Arabidopsis thaliana: one gene and its partners. The protein of the gene in region 3 purifies or fractionates together with the protein of the main gene of each other region. This does not show direct contact. Each region holds a gene or a part of one and is shown on either strand. Other genes may lie near its edges.

Region 1 (8,177 bases), on a different chromosome or scaffold from region 3:
TTGGCGGATGGCTTTGTTGTTTGCAGTTCCACTGTAAGCCAATGCGAGTGCATACATTCCACCATAACGGATGATAGGATCCTGATCTCTAGTCATCTGCTCAATCAAAGTATCTGCTCCCTCTTCTCTTCCATATACTGTGAGAGCTATTCCTAGAGCCAATCCCCTAAACACAAAACCAGATGTTGGTTACTTAAAACATTGAAATAAATTACCATGCACCCACACACATAGCCAAAAATATATTCCAGACTTTAGTTACCTTATTATCTTCTCATGCTGAGTCTCGTGAGCATAAGCGAGCATCTCACTTGCCTTATCAGTTGCTGTTCCAACCAACAATAGACCCATGCTTATGCCGGCAGCTTCACCAGCAACAGCACTGTCAGTGTAAAGCACACTTTTGATATCATCATATATGTCTTCATCAGCTGTCCCAAGAGCAGCCAAACCAAGACCTAAACAAGCTCCGTGTTGAATAACCTGCAACCATATTTTTTTAATGAAAATCATTCTAAACAAAAGACTATCTTTTTGGTGATATAACGGAAGACTATCCAGAAGAAAGATATAGCAAATCACCTCAACACTAGTGCTGCGTAGACTATCACGAAGAAATTGCTTGATTCCCTCACCATGGTTTGCATGAATAAGGCCGAGAGCATATAAAGCACCCCCTTCGGAATAAGGACTCCCGCCACCACCTGCTCCGCCCTGAGGCAAGTATGGGGCCATCAGTGACCTGCCCTGTTGCAAGTGACCCCTATGAATAACACCTAATCCTGCTGTAGCACTAAACTTGGCCCAATTGGTGGCCCTGCTTAGCCAATCCTGACAATTCAAACATGAATGGAAAAGAAAAGAAGATTAAATAATATGCCACATAGTTGACGTTGAAACAAGTTAAAAAGTGGTAGAGAAAATAAATTTTACCAAATTCTCCCTGAGAAAAGTGTCAACTGTCGTTCCAGCATGCATTATAGCATTAGCATAAATTGTAGCACTGTGACATACACTGTTCCGCATCTCAACAGATTGTTTGATTGTCTTCAGGATCAGCAGGTCCGATCTACAAAGAAACAATGGCCATTGCTGTAAATTTTACTATGTGGAAGAAACGACTTAAGAATGAAATATCCTTCGAGATATCAAAAAAGGTAAATAAACTGCCTCACTTGTTATGGCTGTAAAGAAACTGGAGTGTCAGTTGTATTGATGTCTCTCCAGATAAAATCCCCTTAGCCTTTGTTAACCTCTCAGCGTACACAGCGTCAACAGGATCTGTTTCATGCACAATTGTCTGAGATGGAGTTTCATCCGCCATCTGAACATCCCCTGCAGTGTTCTCATTCTGAGCAGTAGAGGTTTCAACAGCTTGAATTGCTTCTACAGGACGGGTCTTGGGCGCTGGAAGGCGATCTCTAACACTCATGAGGAATGCCTGGTGCTCATTCTGTACAAGATCGAAAGAGATTTGGAAAGCCAATAAAGCATCATCTTTGTTCTCTGAACGAAGAAGCTTCTCCAATATGCTTGCAACGCCTTGTGGTTCATCCAAGAACATAAGGCATTGGCAAATGCTCAAATAATCAGGAGAAGCCAGCTTCTGGTAAACATTAACAAGTAACCGAAGAACCTGCAAGAACGAAGTAAGGATGTTATCATTTACAAATTAACAGCCCCTACAAAAATGTTTTGAGTTGACATAAAGAATGCAATGAATTATAACCATTATATTTGTAAGAAAAGAATAAAGAAGATGAGCTCATAGTATCATTAACATAATACATCTATTAAAATCCAGTTTTGTGGCCACCAGACTCACCTCATGTCTATATTCTCTTTGATTAACAAAAGAGTGGGAAACATTGATGCAGTAAGATAATGTTCCCTGCACATTCTCACTCTTTATGATCGCTTCCTCCAACTTATCCAATCTCCGGCATTCTATAGCAATGCCCATGGCTTGTTGATACTTTCCGTCAGTGATACATCTATAAAACAGAAAACCATGTAAGGAAAAACGAAAAACTTGTAGACAGACATAAATAAATAAATTCTGCATCCCATACTTGTCTAGCATTCGTTCAACAATGGCCACCAATCTCGGGTCAATTTCCACCACCTCACTTGACTCGACTGCCTTTGATCTGAGAATAGCATACTCATCTATTGCTTTGGCTGATAAGGAAAACAGAAGCATCCATGAGTAAAACATTCAACATTAAACAGTTAGTAACTGTAAGATCACTATCTTATCATGTCTTTGCGTAACTTTCTAGCAGCACAATCTTATTAAAAGAAAGATGGACGTTCAAGTCTTATTAGTTAGAAAATATATCGTATAAACTATTTTCTTAATCTTCCATTTAATCAGGTTGGAATGATTTTGAATTTACGCCTATTAAGAATGATAACCGAGCTAGTGTCTACTGTCACAGAATTGGATAAAAAAAGTAGAAGAGAAGAAAGTAGCAAACTTCAAAATCCTTACATAGAAGAGTATGAATATAATCAGAATCCTCTGACACATCAAACAAGGATCCAGCTCCAAGGGCATAGGACAAGGAATCGTTAAGCTCACCCAAGTAATAGAAAACCTGAGATAAAACAAGATTAACATAAACGTTAGAAAACAAGTCTTATAATACAATAACATAACTTGATTACAGGAAATTCAAGCTCTGAACTTCTGTAGCAATCTACCAGCTTTTAAGGTATCCGTTTAACTGGCACTCGTATCTCCACTAACAATTTATATAAAACCAGTCATCATGTAAGTTAAATAAAAAGATAAACTGTACCTTGGAGGCCAACAAGGCAGCAAGCTGTCTTTGATGCTGATCAAACTCTTCATCTTCGTATAAGCTCTCTCTACAAAAAAATCAAAAAAAGGTCTCAGAATAGCACAAAAACAGTTTAAGATCTCAAGCAAAAGTAGAGTCTCTACAACTTTCAAAAGAACAAATTTTCCGCATCATGACGGTAAGGGAGCGTCCTTAGCCCAGATAACAATGGTTCTATTCAGAATCAACAGAATTAAGTAAAGCAATTCAATAAAGTTTGTCACTTGTGAATTAACGCATTCAAATCTAACTCGACACAAGAGTGGAAAAACTTGGAATGTAATACCCTAACTAAGAAATATCAAGAGTGCTAAAACTCATCCAAATCCCATAAGCTTTACTCCCAGTAAGCAAACAGAATAGCCTCACGAAGGGAAACAATTAAAAAAAAGAGAAGAGAGAATTGAATACATGATTGGGACACTAGTGGAGATCTCGGGCCAAAATTGGTCAACCAATCTGATGAGATATGAGAGAGCGTGAAGTTTCAAGGAAGGATGGGGTTCGTTGAGCATTGCCAGTAACCCACCGGCGGAACTAACCATGGCGGCGGCCATTATCCTAATCGGAAAATTAGAAACCTAGAGGTGGAGAAGAAGAGTTGATCAGACGGAGGAACACAAGAACCGAACTACTTTGGGCGAGCACAATTTCTGAGTTCACTTTTTCACAAGTCTAATCAAAATCGAAATTCTAGACTTATCGAATATTAAGATACTTACCCAACAAGTCAAGTAATTTTTACCAATACCCCTAAATGTTTAATAAGATTACACTTTCACCCCAAATATATATGATGGATCCAAACAAAATCATAAAGTCGGAATACAAAATTGGGTCTAATGATGGGCCAGACTATATATCTTATAGTGTTAATGGACCAATCTAGCGGCCCATAATAAAAACTTTATTGGTTTGTTTGGAAGTATAGCATATGAGTTTCTAGTTTACATCATTGATTGATGACACCTAAAAAGCTAAAGCTCACAAATAAATGAAATCACATTTTAGGGTTTATATAGATAGTTCAATATTCCATAGATTGACATGGCCTGTCCTCCAACCTATAAAGCGACTACATCTTTTATCAAGTCAGAATTATTTTCTAGTAAATATTTTCTCTTAGACCATACGAGTTTTCACTTAATATGAAATTATGAATAGACATGCAGAAACATTTTCATTTTTAGTTATTGCCCTCTGAAACCTGGACAACCTTCAAATTAAATTTTAATATAATTGATATGAATGTATGATTAATATAATTCAAGGAACTGTATATAATAATTGGTGTCATATGTTCTTCAATTTTTCAACTATATTTGCATCATATTTTTCTCTTTGTGTTGGATGAGATCAATATGGCAGTTGGGCAGACAATGAAACATAAAACTTGTCCAGTGACCGGTGAAACATCTTTAACTGTTTTTACTCAACAGCAATTATATCCTAGTTGTTGTACAGGTTGAATCCATGCACATTGACGAAAAGTGCTTATGCTATCACGATCTCTCTCTAAGTCTATATATATACTGCTCATGCAAGAAGCAATTTCGTATCAAAACATCCTCTTCCAATAGCTTCTAATATTTTAACTACAAACATTTTAAGTTTCCACTAACAATGGGTCTAATCGCCGGTAAAGTGCGTGTGTTTGTTTTGGTGTTTGCTTTGGTCACAGATTTTACTATGGGAGAAGCAGAGTTTGGTGATGAGAAGCCCTTGTTTCCTCACCCTCACCCTCATCCTCTCCTCCACAAGAAGGGCTTTAAAAAAGAATTCGGCGACTTAGGTGGTGGTGGTGGTATCAGCGGTGGAGGCGGCTTTGGAGCAGGTGGCGGTTGGATTGGAGGCAGTGTTGGAGGCTTTGGTGGAGGAATAGGCGGTGGATTTGGTGGAGGAGGATTCGGAGGTGGAGCCGGTAAAGGAGTTGACGGTGGCTTCGGAAAAGGAGTTGACGGTGGAGCCGGTAAAGGAGTTGACGGTGGAGCCGGGAAAGGATTTGATGGAGGAGTTGGCAAAGGAGTTGACGGTGGAGCCGGAAAAGGATTTGATGGAGGAGTCGGCAAAGGATTTGAGGGAGGAATCGGAAAAGGAATTGAGGGAGGAGTCGGAAAAGGATTTGACGGTGGAGCAGGTAAAGGAGTTGACGGTGGAGCCATTGGAGGAATCGGCGGAGGAGCCGGTAAAGAAATTGGTGGAGGAATTGGCGGCGGAGGTCACTGAGAATTTGTTTAACCGTAATGTGCATTGATGAGGAGCTAAAATCCAATGCATGTCATTTAAGAAAACTAATTCGTTATATATGTAACAATAACTGAAATGTATGTCGTTTCTCTTTAGTTTGTTTTACTCTTTGAATATGATTGTATCTTGCTTCTTCGTGCAAGTAAAGTGAATAAAACGATTAAACAAAGCCTTGTGCATTTAAATTGATTTTAAAAGGTATATGTTTAAACTAAAGTGAATAAGTGGTAGTATCAACTTTCTTAATCTACAAAAAGTTCTTAGCTAGATATATTTAAACCCGAGAAAATAATCACAGAGATACACAGATAATCATCCCTCGCGCGTAAACGGTAGTAAAACCCCGTTTAATGAGTTCAAATTTGATGGCCAAGAATGTTTGACTTACCCGCAAAATGATTCCAGAGATCGACCGGTTTGGAAGGGTAAAATGGTAGTTTTCAAATTCTCCGATGAATTTGAAAACCTTGTCAAGTAACTGAGGATTTGCAAACCGGACATGATTTACTCCGTCCTAGCCATGGATCAATGCACTGCACAATAAATAAACAATGGTTACTTTTCGAATCTCTGTTCTTAATAAGGGGTTTTCATTTGAATCAGTAAAGATCCTTACATCCTTGTGGAATTTGTGCAAACAAGGAAGATGACGTATGGTGTCTCCAATCTTCGGAGTTTCCAGACAGATAACACAAGTTTCTTGAAAATTATCAGTCTGCAAATTAACACATAAGCAATCAAATAGAAGCTTTTAGTAACAAAATTTCGATATGAAAAAGCTGAATTTTACAAGTGAACCTTTAGCTTACTTGAACTGTAGACTCTGGCAAGTTGTTAATGCGATTAGCAGAAGCACCGCCATGTCGATGGTTGTTTTCATCAAGAGCTAGCAGCAATTCGTAATCATCTCTGCACCGGAAATGGTTGAACTATCAAGCTTCATATATTGAAGAATCATAGTAAGATAATGACGAAATTCTATCAATAAGATACCATACTCAGTAAAGTCACGATCCATATGAAGAAGATTACTACTGGTAATGGAGTGTCCAATAGCATTCTCTAATTCCTCCAGAATATCCATTCTCTGTTACATTAAAAAGGGTAAGGATGATTCTACGGTACTTAACAACATTAGGCAACATTCAGGATATAAACGGAGTTAAAAAGAGTACCGAGTCTAAGCCCATATCAATTGGAAAACTGAAATTCAGAGCTGTACGTAGTGAAGCAGATGCACCGCCTAAACGATAACCTCGACCCCGTGCTGGTGCTCTAACAGGAGCACGAGCCTGTGGAGGATTGAATCGCCTCCTTGAAGAATGTTGTTGCAGTCGTGCTTCCAGGCGACTTCTCCCACGTGGATTTGCTGCGATCTGTAATTAATATACATTGGCATTAAAACAACGGATGAGACTAACATGATCCCTAAAGCCAGATTCTTTTTAAGTGCAAGTTTACGAAAGAACTCTTTCATGTTTGATAAAGATTAGTCTCGCATCTGAACACAGAAAATCGAAAGAACCAGGTAAAAAAGACGCAAACACAGGAAATTTTCTTATCCATGACTTACGGTATTAGAGCTTCGGGTAATACGAGTAGAAGCACGACTAGAAGAAGCCCGGAGAGAATTCTCTTCTTGTTCCATCGACCTGGCTATGATTTCATCGATCTGTTACCACATATGAAGAAATAAGACCATTGGAAACCTTGATTGATAAAAGGATGGAACATATAGAGGATATCCAAACAAAAGGGAGCTTGGAAAATGTACCTGCTCGTGTCTGATCAACGACTCTTCTCGGTACAGCTGTTCTTGTAATTCACGGGCCAGTATCTCATCTGCTTCTATTTGTCTTATATTCACATCAGATACATCATTTTCAACACGTCTGGGACCCCGGAAGACCCTTACTTCAGGAGATGAATCTTCAATTTCCAACACTTGTGTGCCATGCCAGTGTCTTAGATGATTCTGGATTCTTGGTGGCCTTGAACTAGATGGTTCCCCAGAAGATCTATTAACAGTAACTTCTGGCTCATTTGAAGCCGTTGAAGTAGTAAATCCATTTTTCCGCCGTCGCTGTTGTCTACTTTCTCTTTCAACTACACCGGTTTCACGCACATCAAGTCTGGTAACAGAACTACAAATTCCGCGTGTGTTACTCTCATCCCTATGATTCATTTCATGTTCCATATTTAAATTTCGGTTACGCGTACTAACCCACCCCTCCAAGCCATCTCTACTCGCCACCCTATTTGCATTAATACAAAGAATAGAAACTCTTATAGCACAAAAAAAGAAAAGAAGAAGGGATCATCCTTTAGGTATCTGTTCAAACATCTAATATAAGATAAGGAAAAAATATTACCTGCTACTAGAAATTTCAGGTCTTTTGCCTCTAGCTCTTCCGTGAATATCACTTTCAGGAACAATCTCTCTTATGCCAATCGAAGATGCAGTTTCAGAAGCTAGTTCCTGTTCAACACTAAGTGTGTCATAGGAATTGGTATCAGCAGCTTGTCTAGCTCTAGCTGCTATTTCATGTGGAGAAATGCAGCCATGTCTCACCAATCTTTTAGTGCCTCTGTTCTGTGGTTTGCCACTAGAAAGGTCAATTGTTTCTCTATGAGGAACAGAGCCAGAATCTGCTTTTTCTTTACCTTTATTACTGTTCCCCGGCAGCACAAAGGAGTTATGATCACCTCGTAAAGGAGAACAACCATTACTTGTGCGCAACTCTCTTATATCTTCAGATGGTTGGTATCTCGATGCAGCAACATGAACATGTCCGTTACGCTGATTCAGATTTAAAACCGGATTTTTCTCTACACGAGGCGCACATGGATCAGTGGAGATGGATTTCCCTTTATCCTTCTCAACAACAGTTCTCCTAAACAAAGCATTGCCTACAGAAGCACGAGGGCGATGTCCACTCTCAGTTCGTGTATCAGAACTTTCCCGGTTGTCCCCAATTTCAGGGACTGGTCTGGCTCTTCCGTGAAGATGATGATTACGGTATTCCTCTCTTTGATATCTTAATGGTGCTACTGGAGAATGTGGCCTTCTCTTAACCTCTCTAT
Region 2 (8,177 bases), on a different chromosome or scaffold from region 3:
GGACATATCACCATTCACACGGAGGGTAACAACTGGTCCTTTCACCGGCCATGTCGTGTTTCGGAAGCACATGTCTACTCTGATGAATCCATCACCATTAGAAGCTTCGAACATATTTTTAGTATGATGTCTTTAAGAATGTTATAGTTTGGTATAAAGAAGAGAAAACTATAAACTATTTAAGAAGAGAAAATTATAAACTATTAAAAAAGAGAACACAAATTCTTACCAAAAGTTGCGGTGTTGAACGTTCTTTTACTATTGCTAGAGCTTAAATTGAATGTGATGATGGTTGAATCTTGACCATCAGCGATAAGAGTTAAATTGGATTTCATATTCCCAATGACAACGATTTCAACATAGATGCTTGTCTTAATATAAATGACGAATCTCTTTTGGCTGTGTTGAGGTGCCGCTGCAATGGCCACATTCACTATATTGTAATTTCCGGTCACATCCTTCGCGACCAGAATATCGGTAATTTTCTTTAGAGTCTGATTTATAAGAAACATAAGAAATTCTATGCGCATTAGAAAGAAAAAAAAAGGGGGAATTGTTTCTCCATTGTTGCTTAATTTCTGGGACCATATTGGTTTTTGGGGTTTATGGTTATTCATAAATTATAGTGAGCCTTTTGTGATCATGATGCCCAACTATGATTGTTTTTATCAGAAACATTGGGCTTTAGATTTTTGGGTTATTATTTTCTTGGTCCATCTTGAGTTTTGATATCTTTTTGGTTAAGTTTTTATATAAAGATATGATGAGCTTTTTGTGATTATGATGCGCAAGTAACAACGTTTTTAATAAGAAAATTTAATGTAATGTTTTTAGAGAAATTACCTCTAATAGCTCCAAAAAATATTAATCAAGCTTTAGAAGAACAAACATCCAAAAATAAAATGAACATAATTTAATTTTTTCCATAATCAAATTAGTTTAGTGAATCTATTACACAAAGTGTATATATATTTACGTTTTTTCCTGAAAGATTGGTGTATTTTAAAGGTTACCAGTTTATAGATAGAAATCTAACTATACGATTATCAAATTATAACTGAAAAATATTAGGTTTTTGTTTTATCACCTCATCATTGAGATATAGATCTTTCTTGTCAACGTGAGATAACCAAGACGGGCCATTGGGAACCACCAAGTTAAGTTCGGTGTTGTCTCTCAGCGAAATAGAGATAAAAAGGGCTAAAGCTTCTCTTGCCCTAGAAGTGAGGTCCTCAAGCTCAGGATCGACCCGACGTTTATACATTCACCAATTTCGTCGATATATGTGATGTAGCTAGTAAGAACGCCACTGGAGCCAAGTGTGGACGTTTCAAGATCTAAGATTAGGGAATTCTCCTCCTAAGATTTCATTCACTGAACGGATCATTCTATTTTCTGCCACTCCATCATCTCCTCAAATAGATTTGTATCCTCCTTCACACCAAGCATATCATTCTCCATGTCCTCATGTAGTTTTGAATCTTCCATCACACCAATCATAGCCATGTCGATCCTCCGCACGGAATTTTTCAAAACGATGATCAATAACTCACGACGTCTCATCTCCGAGAGTGGTGCGGAAATCGTCTTAAGGTCCAACAAAAGGTTTTGACATGACTGTTCATCTCATTCTTTGCTAACGCCAATAACCGTTGTTATCATCAAGATCGAAAAAGAAAAAAACTTTAACCAACATTTTTGAAAGTTTTTTTTTTTCTTTCTTTCGTCTCTCTTTAGAATTTAGATTATGTGAACTGAGGAAAGAGGAGAGAGGTATGGTGGTCTTTTATACAAGCAAAACAACTAAATCAATTTACCTTTTAAATAATTGTATTCAATAAACGACAATAGTTAGGAAAAAAACTTAATTTTGAGATCAATCTAAACAGTTCAGTGCAATGTGAATTGAAGCTATAATTCAGTGAAGTTTGGTTTAATTATCTACAAAGAGCAATTCTTAATTGCGTTGTATTAGTTTCAAGAGCATTCCATTTGAAAGATTATTATGGTCATCTTTTCACATGCATAAAGTCATAAACTAATGAAAATTTCTTAGCAGTCAAAGAAACAATTATGCATGTGCAAGTGAAATAAATGTCTTAACTAAAACAAATTGGTAGATGATTGTAACTTTGTTTTATCTTTTCTTGTTTATAGATAGTTTTTGTTTGTATCTTTCTGAAAATAGTATAAAGACTAAAGTTGTATTTAATGTATGGTCTTAGAGCCATGAGGGTGGAGAGAGAGAAGTAGATTTTGACAAATTAAATAAATATATATATATATATATATATATATATATATAAATTTGGATTTGTCCAATATAATACAGATCAAAATAATTAAAAAAAAAAAAATCTTTGATCCTTGCAAATGAAAGTTTTGCAATATGTTTAGTTTAAAAACTATTTAACCTGTTAAAAACTAATTCTCTTTTTCTTTCTTTTTCAATTAGAAATAAACTCATTAAATCCAAGAAAAAAATTATTTTTGTAATTTTTGAATTGTTCAATAAGAATCCAAATTTTAGGCGCTAAAATCAACATTGAATCTTAAAGGTGTGATTGGTGGGAAGTGAGAACTAAAAAAAAAATAGAAAATGAAAAACTGAAAAAGTTAAGAAAAAAATAGAAAAGTGGTCCAAAAATTTCAACTAATAAAAGATAGAAAGAAAAATTGTCTTACTTTATCCTTTTTAAGAGAAATTTAGCTTGAATACTTGTTTTCCATGTACTTTAAATGGCTAAAAATGAATTTGGTAGAAATTGGTTTCATCCATTTTAGTTTAGGCTAACAACAATGCAATATATTCTCAACCTTAATCTCTTGCGTGTGAGGACAATATATTTTAGTTTACGCTAACAACAAGACAATATATTCTCAACCTTAATCTCTCGTGTGTGAAGACAAGACATAGCCATTATTATTCTAGTACTAAATAAGACAATATATGCCTAATAAATAGAAAACCCGTAGGTGTTTTTTGGAGTAAAAAAACATTAAGTGAAATTTGTAAAACTAACCAACAAATAAATTATAATTAAGAAACAAAAGAGGTATGATATTCTGTGTATAAACTACAATATAAACTAAAATACCCTTATTTTTTCTTGTTTTTTAGTCATTACTCTAGTACACTATAATTACCATCACCACCATGCGCTGCAACCATCACCATCATCGCAATTCGCAACCACCATCGCCATGTCGTCACCAGCACTACCACTGCAACTGTCGCCACCATACCAACAACCATAGCGCTGTCACTACTACAACCATCACCATCATCACCACCGAAACTGCTACACCACCGCAACCACCTTAATCACGATCATTATTACCATATTGCTACTACCCCGACCACCGTAACCATCACCACCGCAATCACCATCACCACTATCAAAACAACCAGCACGTCGTTACCACTACCACCACCATCGTCAGTCCGTCACCACCACTATCACCAATTTTTGAATAGTTAATAACTTTTTCTTTTTTTTTTATCTAGAACACTTTGTCCTATACTATTTATTCTATTCTATATACCGTTTTTCATTTGAAAATATACATCATTTTCAATTTTTGAGTTTATACAAGTTTTACACATATAATTATGGTTTGGGTATAAGTTTTTTTGGTTTAGCATTTAGTATATTAAATTAAAATTGATTTATGAATGAGTTATGAAAAATAGTACAATATATTCTTGTTCTATTCCTATACATCCTAAATAGTACAACATATTTTTACTTACACATACTATTCACCATTTCACAAATTTACATCTAATTTTAAAATTTTAAACTATGCAATATGTAGAAAAATATGGTTTTTGTGCAAAAAATCCTACAATACAATTTTTTTTTAACCCTTCAATTAAAAAAAAATGCAGGTCAATACTACCAACTTGAAAAGTGAGCCGCAATATAAACTACGTCGTTTTGGATATTTTAAAATAAAAAGGAATGTTTCAAGAGTGTTTTGAACTCAGGACCTCTAGAAGATATAAAACCTTACCTAACCAATTGTGCCACATAAAATTTATAAACTCTTAACAATAAATAAATATATATATATATATATATATATAGACAGCCTTTATGTTCAACCTGACCAATGCAACCAACGATCTCATCAGAATCACGCCCCTACATATCGCATGATTCAATTTTGTAGGCTCTACAACCTTCCATTGAGATGGCAAACCGCCATTGGTTGTTTAAAATCTTATGTAGACGCTCTAGAAGAAAATAGTCTCGACTTTTTTTTTTTTTTAAAAGAGCAGTTATGTATTTGAGAATGTGCCGGAGAAAAAAAACAATACTATTATATATCAGAATTGAATAATACATATGATAAATCATATATATAATGGATAAGGCTAATGTGAGTGTATAAGTCTCCAATGCTTCAAGCTGATTGTACCACCAAATCTTTTTCAAAAAACTAAAAATTAAAAATTAAAAATAATTAAAATTTTCAAAAAATCAGAATTTAGGCAGAACAAATTGCAATAAAGTTTTTATTTCTTGTTTCTACAAATTAAAATATTTCTGGACGTATTTTTTAATCTTAAGAAGATAGGTTTCTTTAATTAATTTTTTATTCTTTATTTTAATTTTTGGAATTGAACAGAAGCTGATGAAGTGAATGATAACGGATCCACCCAGCCGGACCCAAATAGCCCCAAAAGCCCTTAATTCATAGCTAACTTAACCCATTCCTCAAGAAAACAAAATTACTTTAAAACAGAAAAAAAGTTGATAAATTGCTTCAGTGTCAAATTCTGAGATCTGTAAAAGATGAGCGACGGAGACGACGCTGCTAGACGCCGTACCGCGGCGGTGACTGATTACCGGAAGAAGCTCCTTCATCACAAGGAGCTCGAATCCCGTGTCCGAACAGGTTCGATTTCAAAATCTTCCTCATTCTCCTCTTTCGTTTTCTGGGTTTAGTTTGTGGGTCAAAATCGAATCTAGGGTTTTTTCCTACTCTTCGTTCCCATTAGAAATCTCGAGACTTTACTTCAATTAGTGACGCGATTTTAGGGGTTTTGGAGTTTCGAATTGAATTGGTTCCACCGTTTGTTTCACTTGATTAGTCAATTTTGAAGTCGATCTCAAGCTTAATTTCACTTGTTATAGTTCTTATAAACTGGGTCTTGTGGTTATATGCAGCTAGGGAGAATTTAAGAGCAGCTAAGAAGGAATTCAACAAAACTGAGGATGATTTGAAGTCTCTTCAAAGCGTTGGCCAGATTATTGGAGAAGTACTACGTCCTCTTGATAACGAGCGATGTAATTTTCTATCTTGCTACCTTATGTTTTTGATTGAATACTACACTTTGTGTTTTCTATCATCTAAAGGTGGAATTTTTTCTTCTTCTTTTTAGTGATTGTTAAGGCAAGTAGTGGCCCTCGTTATGTGGTGGGTTGTCGTAGCAAGGTGGACAAGGAAAAGCTTACTTCTGGAACTCGAGTTGTCCTGGATATGACTACGCTGACAATTATGCGAGCCCTTCCTCGTGAAGTATGCTTGATTTCAGTATTTTTGCTTTTTTTTTTTGTAGCTGCTTAGTGTATTTGTACTGGTTTTAATTCGATGGTATGTGTTGGTAGGTTGATCCTGTTGTTTATAACATGTTGCATGAAGATCCAGGCAACATTAGTTACTCAGCTGTGGGTGGTTTAGGTGATCAGATCAGAGAACTTAGGGAATCTATTGAGCTGCCTCTCATGAATCCTGAACTTTTCCTTAGAGTTGGGATTAAACCTCCTAAGGTACTTGATCTCTCTCCAGTCCTTTCTTTTGTTTTCACAAACTATCTCATGATTCACTTTTTATGTTTCCCTGTGCCGTGGTTACCTGCATGAATGGCTAAAAAGAGTTGAAACGCACTTCAATTTCCATAATGCTAATTTTCATTTCTCTCATTCCAGGGTGTCCTTCTGTATGGACCTCCGGGTACTGGAAAAACTCTACTAGCTAGGGCTATTGCCAGCAATATCGACGCCAACTTCTTGAAGGTTTGATTTTGTTGTTGAAGGTTTGGTTTGGTGTTCTTTTTATTATACCTTGTCTGTGCTAAATAAGCTCTTTTTTTACCTTTATGTTTAGGTTGTATCTAGTGCAATCATAGACAAATACATTGGAGAAAGTGCTAGGTTGATTCGAGAAATGTTTAACTATGCTCGTGAACATCAGGTAGAATACCATCTCTTTCCTCTTGTCTTATACCTTGATATGCTTTATATTGAAGTTCATGAATTGTCTCTTAACACTCCTTCTTGGGGGCTAGCCTTGTATCATTTTCATGGATGAAATCGATGCTATTGGTGGACGCCGTTTTAGTGAAGGAACTAGTGCTGATCGTGAAATTCAAAGAACACTTATGGAGTTACTTAACCAGCTTGATGGGTTTGACCAACTTGGAAAGGTATGACCTATAGTTTTAGAATAGTACTCGTGCATAAAACTGAGTGGTTACGGTGTGAAACTTGCTTGTTGGGGATAACTTAGTTCAAGGTAGTTTTGTTTTATAACTCATGTTTCAAGTGGTTACTTTCATTGTTAAATTTATCTGTTTCCCAAAATTATTTGTACAATGGAATATCTTCTGATACTTGGGAGATAATACTATTAGGTGAAAATGATAATGGCCACCAACAGGCCGGATGTTCTTGATCCAGCACTTCTCCGTCCGGGTAGGTTAGATAGAAAGATCGAGATCCCGTTGCCAAATGAACAATCAAGAATGGAAATCCTCAAGATCCACGCATCTGGCATTGCCAAGCATGGAGAAATAGACTATGAGGCTATCGTGAAACTTGGAGAGGTTTGTTTGTTTTTCTTAAATGTCACTGCGTTGTAGTTTTTGCCTTTGTTATATATTATAGATCCCACTGATTGTTCCATTCAATCAACATCCTTAGGGTTTCAATGGTGCCGATCTGCGTAACATATGCACTGAAGCTGGAATGTTCGCAATCAGAGCAGAGCGTGACTATGTAATACATGAAGACTTCATGAAGGTAGAAACAAAAATAAATACTCCGCATGTTTACATATTTTTTTGTACCCAAACTTTTCTGCTTATCAAATTGTCTGTTGTACAGGCTGTGAGAAAGCTGAGCGAGGCCAAGAAGCTTGAGTCGAGCTCTCACTATAACGCGGATTTTGGGAAAGAGTAAGAAAAGAATAAGCTCAGAGAAGAAGAGAGGGCCTAAAGGGCAGTGAAAAACTCTGTTATTCACTTTGAAAAAACAAGCTGATGATTCTGTTTCAGTTTCTCAATGTTTTGTTTTGAGGTTCTAGTAAACACAAAAATTCTTGTTTTAGTAATGACAACTATTTTCTGTTTGTCCTATATTTTTTTATTTTATTTTCTGATCAAACATGCATCCTGTATATCTAAAATGTCAGAAAACTCAAGTGTCGTAATCACAAATCTTAGCAATGATTTTTCATATAAAAAATGTTACAAAAATCAATTATTAATTTATAATATTAGTGGGACCATATTTTTATATAAGATTTTTTAAAAAAATTATTATCTTATTATTTTATCGATTTTAGTTAATTTTTATATTTGTCCGATCTGGAACTAGCAAAATTTATTAATTTTTCTTGTTTATTAATTTATAAAATTTATACTGTATTCCTATCAATAACGATGAGTGCTACAAATGTGTGAAATGCGATTCAGATCTTCACAAAGTATTTGCTAGCCTTCCTTGCAAAAAATATTTACTGCACAACTATAAACTCATTCTACAACTTCTGTGAGCTAATCATATCCTATTACGAATGATCAATATAACTTTTACGACTAAGTAATCATTTCTATAGCTTTTTATGGTGAACGATTTTGTCGACGACTTTATAACTGTCAGTTCTATATGTACCACAAAGATTAACAATAGATGGTTCTACATGCTGATGGTAGACAATTTTACTCTTTTGAAAAATGAACCATAATGAACGTTAATTTTTGTCTTAATCTATTGACAAACGTAAAAGCATCCTCAACGGTGAGGCTCTCTGAAATGATCATTGGATTAATAGAAAATATTAATTTTATGATTTTCTTATTTAATTAAATTTATAATAATTAATTGAATTCCATCAATAGATCAAAACATGGTGAATCATCAAGAGACTCAAACATCCATCCTTTC
Region 3 (8,177 bases):
TACCTTTATTAGGAGGTAATCAAAATTAAATCAGATGGTTGAACCGGGTTAGATTCGGTTACATTCTTTGGTTTGGGTATCTGATTTCCAATTTTTCTATACCGAGAAGGAAACCAAACATTCTTTGGTTTGGACTGATTAGTTTCTGTTATTGAACAGGTTTAGCCGGTGGTGTGGGAGCAATATTGATCGCCGGATTCATAACGAAGACGATAGTCTCGAAGCAGAATCGGAGAATCGCCGGAAACCAATCATGGGCAAGCGTAAGGAAACTTCATCGAAACCTGTTGAGTATCAACAGTACCGGACTAGATAGAATCTTCACCGGCAAAGAAATCGTCAAAGCCACAGATAATTTCGCCAAATCAAATCTCCTAGGCTTCGGTGGATTCGGCGAAGTTTTCAAAGGAAATCTCGATGACGGAACCACCGTAGCTGTGAAACGCGCCAAACTCGGAAACGAAAAGAGCATTTACCAAATCGTCAACGAGGTTCAGATTCTCTGTCAAGTTAGCCATAAGAATCTAGTGAAGCTTCTCGGATGCTGCATCGAATTGGAAATGCCAGTTCTTGTTTACGAATTCGTCCCAAACGGAACTTTGTTTGAACACATTTACGGCGGTGGCGGCGGCGGAGGAGGATTATACGATCATTTACCGTTGCGGCGGCGTCTTATGATCGCACACCAAACGGCTCAAGGACTTGATTATCTTCACTCGTCTTCATCGCCGCCGATTTATCACAGAGATGTTAAATCAAGTAATATTCTCCTCGACGAGAATCTTGATGTTAAGGTTGCTGATTTTGGATTATCAAGATTAGGTGTGAGTGATGTGAGTCACGTCACCACCTGTGCTCAAGGAACATTAGGTTATTTAGATCCAGAGTACTATCTTAACTTTCAGTTGACGGATAAGAGCGACGTGTATAGCTTCGGGGTTGTGTTGTTCGAGTTATTGACTTGTAAGAAGGCGATTGATTTTAATCGTGAGGAGGAAGATGTGAATTTGGTGGTGTTTGTGAGGAAGGCTTTGAAGGAAGGGAGATTGATGGATGTGATTGATCCGGTGATTGGGATAGGAGCGACGGAGAAGGAGATTGAGTCTATGAAGGCGCTTGGAGTTTTGGCGGAGTTGTGTGTGAAAGAGACGAGACAATGTCGACCAACTATGCAAGTTGCTGCAAAGGAGATCGAAAACATTTTACACGGAATTTAAATGTTTGTTGAAACGACGTTTTTGTGTTGTCGTTTAAGAATCTGTAAATAAATAATTTTGGAAGAGAATTTAGAGATGTTTCACTCTTCTTTGTACTAAACAGCAATGTTATTTGCGAATACCCGTTGCAACTTGTGCATTTGATTCGTAACTATTCGGAACAAAAAGATCGGAAAAAAGCTAGCGATAAAATGATGTGATCCTAGGTATAAGATGTTTCACCGATTGGAATTACTCTTCTTTGCACTAAACAGCAATGTTATTTGCGAATATCCCGTTGAAACTTGCACTAGATGATCGAATTCGGAAGACTCAATGACTAAAGCATCAATCATTGTGAACAAGGTAGTAGTAACTTTGTTTTTAAGTTCTAAGTAAGGTGTAGTGGTTAAGAGAGAAATGCCAATATGCAGCAGTAGCACTTGATTGCAAGAAACATTGATAGATTCGATTAGAAGCAGATTGTTAACGTCATCAAAAGCTACAAAGATGTCTCAACATTCCAAGAAGAAGAAAAAGTTGGGAGTTCTTTGCGAAACTAACTAAACCGAGGCTAAGATCCAAAATGTGACATGAGAAGAAACAGCAATCTGGATCCAAGTGACGAAAGAAAGCGCTACAGCTACTTCATACCTAAGACATGGATATTGGCTTTGAGTATTGCAATACTTGATATCTTTTTCATACAAGACTACAACTCCTGCTGATGAACATGCAGCTGCAAGAGATAACATTGCCGTCACCTGCAAAACAAGAAAAACAATTCTCAATCCTTTAAAAAATCATATCAAGAACACTGAATTTAATGTAGCAAAGCCATAAAAATGTGGTGTTGCATACCCAATCACCAACGACGAATAAGCTAACCAAGATAGGGTTTTGGAGATCTTTCTTTCCCCTGAGAGCATAAACATCAAGACATGCTAGCCCAAAGCTCCACAACAATTGAAGACCCATTGACGCAATCAAGTAGCTGAAACCAACCCCAAAATCATAATCAACATCAACGAGACTTGTACTACTACTAATAAACACCAAAATTGCTTGCAGAAATTCCACTACCATTTCTACTAAATCCGACAACTAAACGAACAAAACAAGGTTAAAGGAAACAAATCAAAACTTGAAGAAAGCGAAACCGTACCAAAAAGCAGTGTGAACAGAGAACTCTTTAGCAGAGACCATAACGCCGATTGAAGCAGCAGCTGAAGCACATTGTCCGATTCTCAGTAACAGACCACACACAGTTCCCGGACCTCCTAAAAGCTTCTTCATTTCAATCAATAACGACTCCAATTTCTCTTCCCAAACCCAGAAATTCCGACAAAATCAGCGAGGAAAGAGGAACAAAATCGAACAAAACCCTAGTTCAGCAAGTAAAAAGCTACATTTGCTTCAGGAGAAATTTTGGCGGGGAAAAAAAGAAATTGCAGAGGAAATTCATAGCTAAGAATAACCCTATAAGAGGATTTTGTCACCTACAAACAGAATTTCCCGAAACGGCTTAGATTCGATTATAAGCTAAGCTTCTTCCTTGTTTCTCCTTTGACATTCTCTTTTTCTTGCTTTGCTTTTTAGTGGACTGAGATAAGTGAGATAAGCATCCTACGTGGCAGCACAAACTAACTTTTTTTTTTTTTTTTTGTCTTTTTTTTTTTTTAGCGATTGTATTTGGTCGTTAAGAATCTGAAGTATTATTTGTTGTATTTTTGAGTTCTAAAAATGTGTATGCAAATGCAATGCCTTTTTGCCTGTCTCTATGTGGCTATTAGACCATTACATAAGTTTTCGTAGTAACTCGTAAAATTGATCAAAATTGCAACAAAACAGAGTTAAATTGAGTTCCAACACAAGTTAAGTGTTTGTGCTTATGGATCAAATATCATCATCTTATCAAGTCTTTACAAACAGTGGAATCATCATCTCAATAACTCCACTGTAATTAGACCTATCTTAAGCTACCCTACATTGTACCAAAACCTGTTCTTAATAGCTCAGTGCTGATAAAAGATCCGATACCAACACTGTAACAAATCCATCGCTAGTCAAATCTACTCACAAGAACTGAAAGAGATGGATCTCTAGAAGATATAGTAAGCCAATATATTATTTCTGGGAACGCGGCTTGACTCAGCTTGTCATTTCTTCCTTTACTACACTTTTAAGTTTACCCTCCTTATGTGGATTTTTTCTTTGTGCTTGAATGTGATGCACAAATGCAGCTACTATAACATGGAGCTTTGGGGGAGGCTTGCTTGTTGAAGAGACATTGTGACCAGCATCTTTTAAAGCTTTGGCAACATTCTTCTGTGCTTTCTGGTAGTGCACGTTACACAGTACAGGAACAGTCGATGCTAGTGTTGGTTTTCCACAAAGTAATGGTCCTGCTGGAGATCTGAATGTACAAAGCAAACAAATGCAGAGTTAGTAGAGAACCGCTCAAATAATCATCATGTGCTAATTACAAACCAGCATGAAAAAGTACATATCTATGAAATCTGGATTGTAACAAACCGAATCTGATAATAACAGTGTATCAATCTGAAACCAGGTTAATGTTGTATTCCAAGTCACTTACATTTTCAAAGAGCTCATCTCAATGTTCAGTTGGAACACATTTTCAAAGATGACATAATAATGCTAATAATACTCATAACCCTACCTCGTTTGCAAAGATACCTTAATAGAGACATCTTTGTCACTTATGTATATCAACGCAGCACATCAATCAAGGTTATGAAACAAGTCAAAGTACCGAATCTATATACGGTTACCAAAGCTAAAATTTTCTCCCAATCCCTACGGAAATCTTTGAAACAGAGCAAAGTCTCAATCCTAAAACCTTTCCGCAGGCTCAAAGAAGAAAGAAACTATTTCTTGGCACAAACATTGCTTTGCAGTTTCAATTCATCATCACTACAACATCTTAAACCGACTATACAATATAAAAGAACACAACTTGAAGCAAACCTGTTGATGACGTTTGTGCAACCAGTGTAGAGCTTCTGCTTACTATCCTTGAGAATATGCAATTGACAGTATTTGGTAAGCGCCATAGCTTTAGCTTTGCATCCATACATACAGAACCCGGAATTGCTGTTTGCATACTGATCACCATCATTACCCTTATCTCCACTACCTTCTGGATCAAGCCTCCGTCTCTTATTCGATTGATTTTGTTCGTCTTTAAACTGACTAACCCCATACTTACACCAATAATCCCTGTGTTGCGCCTTGAGATCCTCCATTAAAGCCCAATAATGGTTTTTATAACACTTGGCCAGCTGCTTTAGGTTGTCTGCTCGGCGTCGGAGAAGCTCTGGGCGTGTGAGGTGACTAGAGCTTGCGAGGATTTCATCTTCTTGTAACATCGTAATCGGTGAATTCGAGGTCGATGGTAAGACGTTTGTGCTAGGTTTAGGGTTCCGAATTTGGGGTTCAACTGAAGTGGAAGCCACAGCGGTGGAAGATGCAGCGTTGGAGGAAGACGGAGGTCTTGGGGGTTTCAAGGAGAAAGGGTTTTGCTCAGTGTTCTTGGCAGCTGACGCCATTGTCGTCGCCGGAAAATGATGACAGAGAAGATTCAAAATGCGAGATTTTTTTTTCTCTTAATTACTTGATTGAAAACATCCATGGGCCCAAACCAATTATTTAACTATTTTATCAATGTATGGGCCAAATTATTCAACAAATAGGCCCAAAGGAAATTGGATGTGAAACCTGATTTTCTGAATTAGGTCAAGTATAAGTACTAATAGCATCTCTTTCGAGATTACGCCGCTCATTTTTAGGGTTTCAGATATAGGCAGATTCTCACATTTGCAAACATGACGACTCAGATCAGCAAGAAGAGAAAGGTGAATTGTGTGATTCTGTTCATTTTGTTCTTTCAATGGATTTATCGTATTGGAACTGTTTTGGTAACTGTGTTGAGATTTTGATTTTGTAGTTTGTAGCGGACGGTGTGTTCTACGCTGAATTGAATGAGGTTCTTACAAGAGAGCTAGCAGAGGATGGTTACTCTGGTGTTGAGGTTAGGGTTACTCCTATGAGGACTGAGATTATCATCAGAGCTACACGTACTCAGAATGTTCTCGGTATGTTTTTGATCTTCGAGCTTAATCATTTCTTCTATTATACGGTAGTGACTGTAAAATTTGATTGTATTTCAGGTGAGAAGGGGAGGAGAATTAGGGAATTGACTTCCCTTGTTCAGAAGAGATTCAAGTTTCCAGTTGACAGTGTTGAGCTTTATGCCGAGAAGGTTAACAACAGAGGTCTCTGTGCCATCGCTCAGGCTGAGTCTTTACGTTACAAGCTTCTTGGTGGTCTCGCTGTTCGTAGGTACGACATTTCTCTAGTTCGTTTGCTATGTTACTTTGTTTGATCAGTTTAGTTTATCATTAGAGACTGATTTGGATAGGTTACTAGTGTATATAAGCATTCACCGATCGTTATAGTTGTATGTTTAGTATAGAGTAATTGTTCTTATAGACTCTGTATGGTTTCAAATAGGTATTGTCTAGCTTCTAAGTGTAATGACTTTAAGTTCTCATGCAATGGTTATATGTTGTATAGGGCTTGCTATGGTGTGTTGAGGTTTGTTATGGAGAGTGGAGCTAAGGGATGCGAGGTTATCGTGAGTGGAAAGCTTCGTGCTGCCAGAGCCAAGTCTATGAAGTTCAAAGATGGCTACATGGTGTCATCTGGTCAACCAACTAAGGAATACATAGACTCTGCAGTGAGACATGTTTTGCTTAGACAAGTGAGTTTCGTCTGAGTTGTTCTTATTAGAGTTAAGTAAAAAATCAACAACGTCTAATTAAAGTGTTGTTAAACCGAATATGTAGGGTGTGTTGGGAATCAAGGTGAAGGTTATGCTTGATTGGGACCCTAAGGGCATATCAGGACCAAAGACACCATTGCCTGATGTTGTGATCATTCATTCTCCTAAAGAAGAAGAGGCCATCTATGCACCTGCTCAGGTTGCTGCCCCGGCTGCTCTCGTAGCAGATGCACCACTCACAGCCGTAGATTACCCTGCGATGATCCCAGTCGCCTAAAAGAATCCTTTGTACTAGTCGATGTGATTTTGTTTTCAACTGTTCTTGCTCTTTTGACAGATTATAGCTTCTCGTATCTTCGAATCAGACACGTTTCCTCTGTTCTTATTCGAAAATTATCTCAAGTTTCCATTGTTGAAAAAGCCCTTTTTAGTTTCATAAATCATTCTCTCTTTGGCAAATTATTCTGAATTAATTCGTAATATTACAAGACCAGTTTGTCCAAATTTTGGTACATCCATCGAATTAACTAATCGTAATTACTAATTACTAATTACTCTCATCACATGAAATATGAAAACACAAGTATTTGCGTTTAGTTATATCCACGTGTTTGAATACTAACCGTCTGTTGTTATAAAACTCCGACGATTTTCCCGCTCCGTCGACACAAACCTCCTCCGTCTTTCGTAAAAGGTTCTCGAGATCTAAGTCTCACTTCTAAAGCTCTGACAATGGCGGACGAAATCGGATTCTTCCAACTCAACACCGGAGCAAAGATCCCATCGGTTGGTCTCGGGACATGGCAAGCTGCTCCTGGCGTCGTTGGAGACGCCGTCGCCGCCGCTGTGAAGGTTCTTCTGTGATTTTCCGTCTCATGGTTTCTCATTTGACTGATCCTTAGAGATCTTTGATTAGATGTTCTGATCCTTACATAGTTTGGTTTTTCCCTCAATATTGGTTGATCTTGGGATTTACGGATTGATTTGGAAATTCGTTTCAGTAGCAGAAGAACTTAATAATCATTTCGTTTTCTGCAGATTGGATATCAGCATATTGATTGTGCTTCAAGATATGGCAATGAAATTGAGGTAAAATTCACCGATCCGAATCTGTATCTTCCATAGTTTGCTTCATATAGTTCATCTTTTGACGGCTCGTTACTTGATTTGCCTTTATATAGAACAGTATATAGTATGATCGTTCTTACTCGATTGGCTGTTTTATGTAATTCTTACTAAGGTTAACCAATTTATATTTAGGAATGACAATTGCACACATTGTCTTGTGTATCTTTTTCTTAAACTAGCTTTAAGTTATGTAGGATTAATGGAGTTATTTGTTATAGACTGTTTACAAGTTCATTTGAAATGTGGCTTTTTGTTTTTCTTGATGGAGAAATTGAAAGCTTTTTTTAACCTGCAGATTGGGAAAGTTCTGAAGAAGTTGTTTGATGATGGCGTAGTGAAGCGTGAGAAGCTGTTCATCACATCAAAAATCTGGTATTTTGTTCATGAAGTTTCTGCATCTCTATCATTTTTATGCATTTTCAGTTTCCCTCGTTTGCTTAAGCCTCTTAACCTATTAAAATCTACAAATTATGCAAGCACAGGTTGACTGATCTTGACCCTCCGGATGTACAGGACGCATTGAACAGAACTCTTCAGGATCTGCAGCTTGATTATGTTGATTTGTATCTCGTAAGCACGACTTCTTTGAACAAATGCTGATTTTTTAATAAGTTCTAACAGTTTTCAAGATCCGTTCCTTTCTTCAATATCTAGCCTGAATTGTCCGGATCTCTGGATTTGAAACTATACATATGCTTGCTTATACTTTGATTTGTTTCATTTGATATTTTTTTCAAGATGCACTGGCCTGTTCGGTTGAAGAAAGGTACTGTTGACTTTAAGCCTGAGAACATTATGCCTATCGATATTCCGAGCACATGGAAAGCAATGGAAGCACTGGTTGATTCAGGCAAGGCAAGAGCCATTGGCGTAAGTAATTTCTCTACAAAGAAACTCTCAGATCTTGTGGAGGCTGCTCGTGTTCCTCCCGCTGTAAACCAGGTGGAATGTCATCCTTCATGGCAACAACATAAGCTACATGAGTTTTGCAAGTCCAAAGGGATCCACCTCTCAGTAAGTTTTAAAACACTAAACATTTCCAAATC

Evidence for each region.
Region 1: the proteins of AT3G53870 (region 3) and AT1G04810 fractionate together in Arabidopsis thaliana (co-fractionation; one large-scale study listed by BioGRID). This does not show direct contact.
Region 2: the proteins of AT3G53870 (region 3) and AT1G45000 fractionate together in Arabidopsis thaliana (co-fractionation; one large-scale study listed by BioGRID). This does not show direct contact.

The regions. Positions count from the first base shown.
Region 1 is NC_003070.9:1,345,530-1,353,706, reverse strand, and holds the start of AT1G04810 (26S proteasome regulatory complex, non-ATPase subcomplex, Rpn2/Psmd1 subunit), read right to left. Parts: upstream 3,628-8,177; 5' UTR 3,404-3,627; coding exon 3,258-3,403; intron 2,875-3,257; coding exon 2,805-2,874; intron 2,601-2,804; coding exon 2,495-2,600; intron 2,182-2,494; coding exon 2,073-2,181; intron 1,995-2,072; coding exon 1,826-1,994; intron 1,637-1,825; coding exon 1,176-1,636; intron 1,070-1,175; coding exon 934-1,069; intron 832-933; coding exon 583-831; intron 484-582; coding exon 263-483; intron 167-262; coding exon 1-166. Other genes in the region: AT1G04800 (glycine-rich protein), read left to right, coding at 4,470-5,072; AT1G04790 (RING/U-box superfamily protein), read right to left, coding at 5,564-5,626, 5,710-5,808, 5,903-6,002, 6,092-6,180, 6,269-6,469, 6,667-6,765, 6,868-7,348, 7,466-8,177. UniProt on the Arabidopsis thaliana protein: Acts as a regulatory subunit of the 26 proteasome which is involved in the ATP-dependent degradation of ubiquitinated proteins.
Region 2 is NC_003070.9:17,004,418-17,012,594, forward strand, and holds AT1G45000 (AAA-type ATPase family protein), read left to right. Parts: upstream 1-4,633; 5' UTR 4,634-4,802; coding exon 4,803-4,905; intron 4,906-5,177; coding exon 5,178-5,297; intron 5,298-5,392; coding exon 5,393-5,529; intron 5,530-5,618; coding exon 5,619-5,780; intron 5,781-5,939; coding exon 5,940-6,026; intron 6,027-6,117; coding exon 6,118-6,204; intron 6,205-6,298; coding exon 6,299-6,436; intron 6,437-6,643; coding exon 6,644-6,835; intron 6,836-6,932; coding exon 6,933-7,031; intron 7,032-7,115; coding exon 7,116-7,190; 3' UTR 7,191-7,512; downstream 7,513-8,177. Other genes in the region: PME7 (pectin methylesterase 7), read right to left, coding at 1-104, 230-494, 1,088-1,231, 1,441-1,506; AT1G44990 (uncharacterized protein), read right to left, coding at 3,125-3,299, 3,342-3,391. UniProt on the Arabidopsis thaliana protein: The 26S proteasome is involved in the ATP-dependent degradation of ubiquitinated proteins. The regulatory (or ATPase) complex confers ATP dependency and substrate specificity to the 26S complex.
Region 3 is NC_003074.8:19,946,503-19,954,679, forward strand, and holds AT3G53870 (Ribosomal protein S3 family protein), read left to right. Parts: upstream 1-4,921; 5' UTR 4,922-5,044; coding exon 5,045-5,074; intron 5,075-5,166; coding exon 5,167-5,314; intron 5,315-5,389; coding exon 5,390-5,561; intron 5,562-5,795; coding exon 5,796-5,982; intron 5,983-6,067; coding exon 6,068-6,280; 3' UTR 6,281-6,516; downstream 6,517-8,177. Other genes in the region: AT3G53840 (Protein kinase superfamily protein), read left to right, coding at 1-15, 160-1,217; AT3G53850 (Uncharacterized protein family (UPF0497)), read right to left, coding at 1,760-1,960, 2,058-2,190, 2,362-2,492; AT3G53860 (INO80 complex subunit D-like protein), read right to left, coding at 3,348-3,612, 4,188-4,768; AKR4C11 (NAD(P)-linked oxidoreductase superfamily protein), read left to right, coding at 6,736-6,855, 7,042-7,092, 7,427-7,503, 7,614-7,701, 7,870-8,145.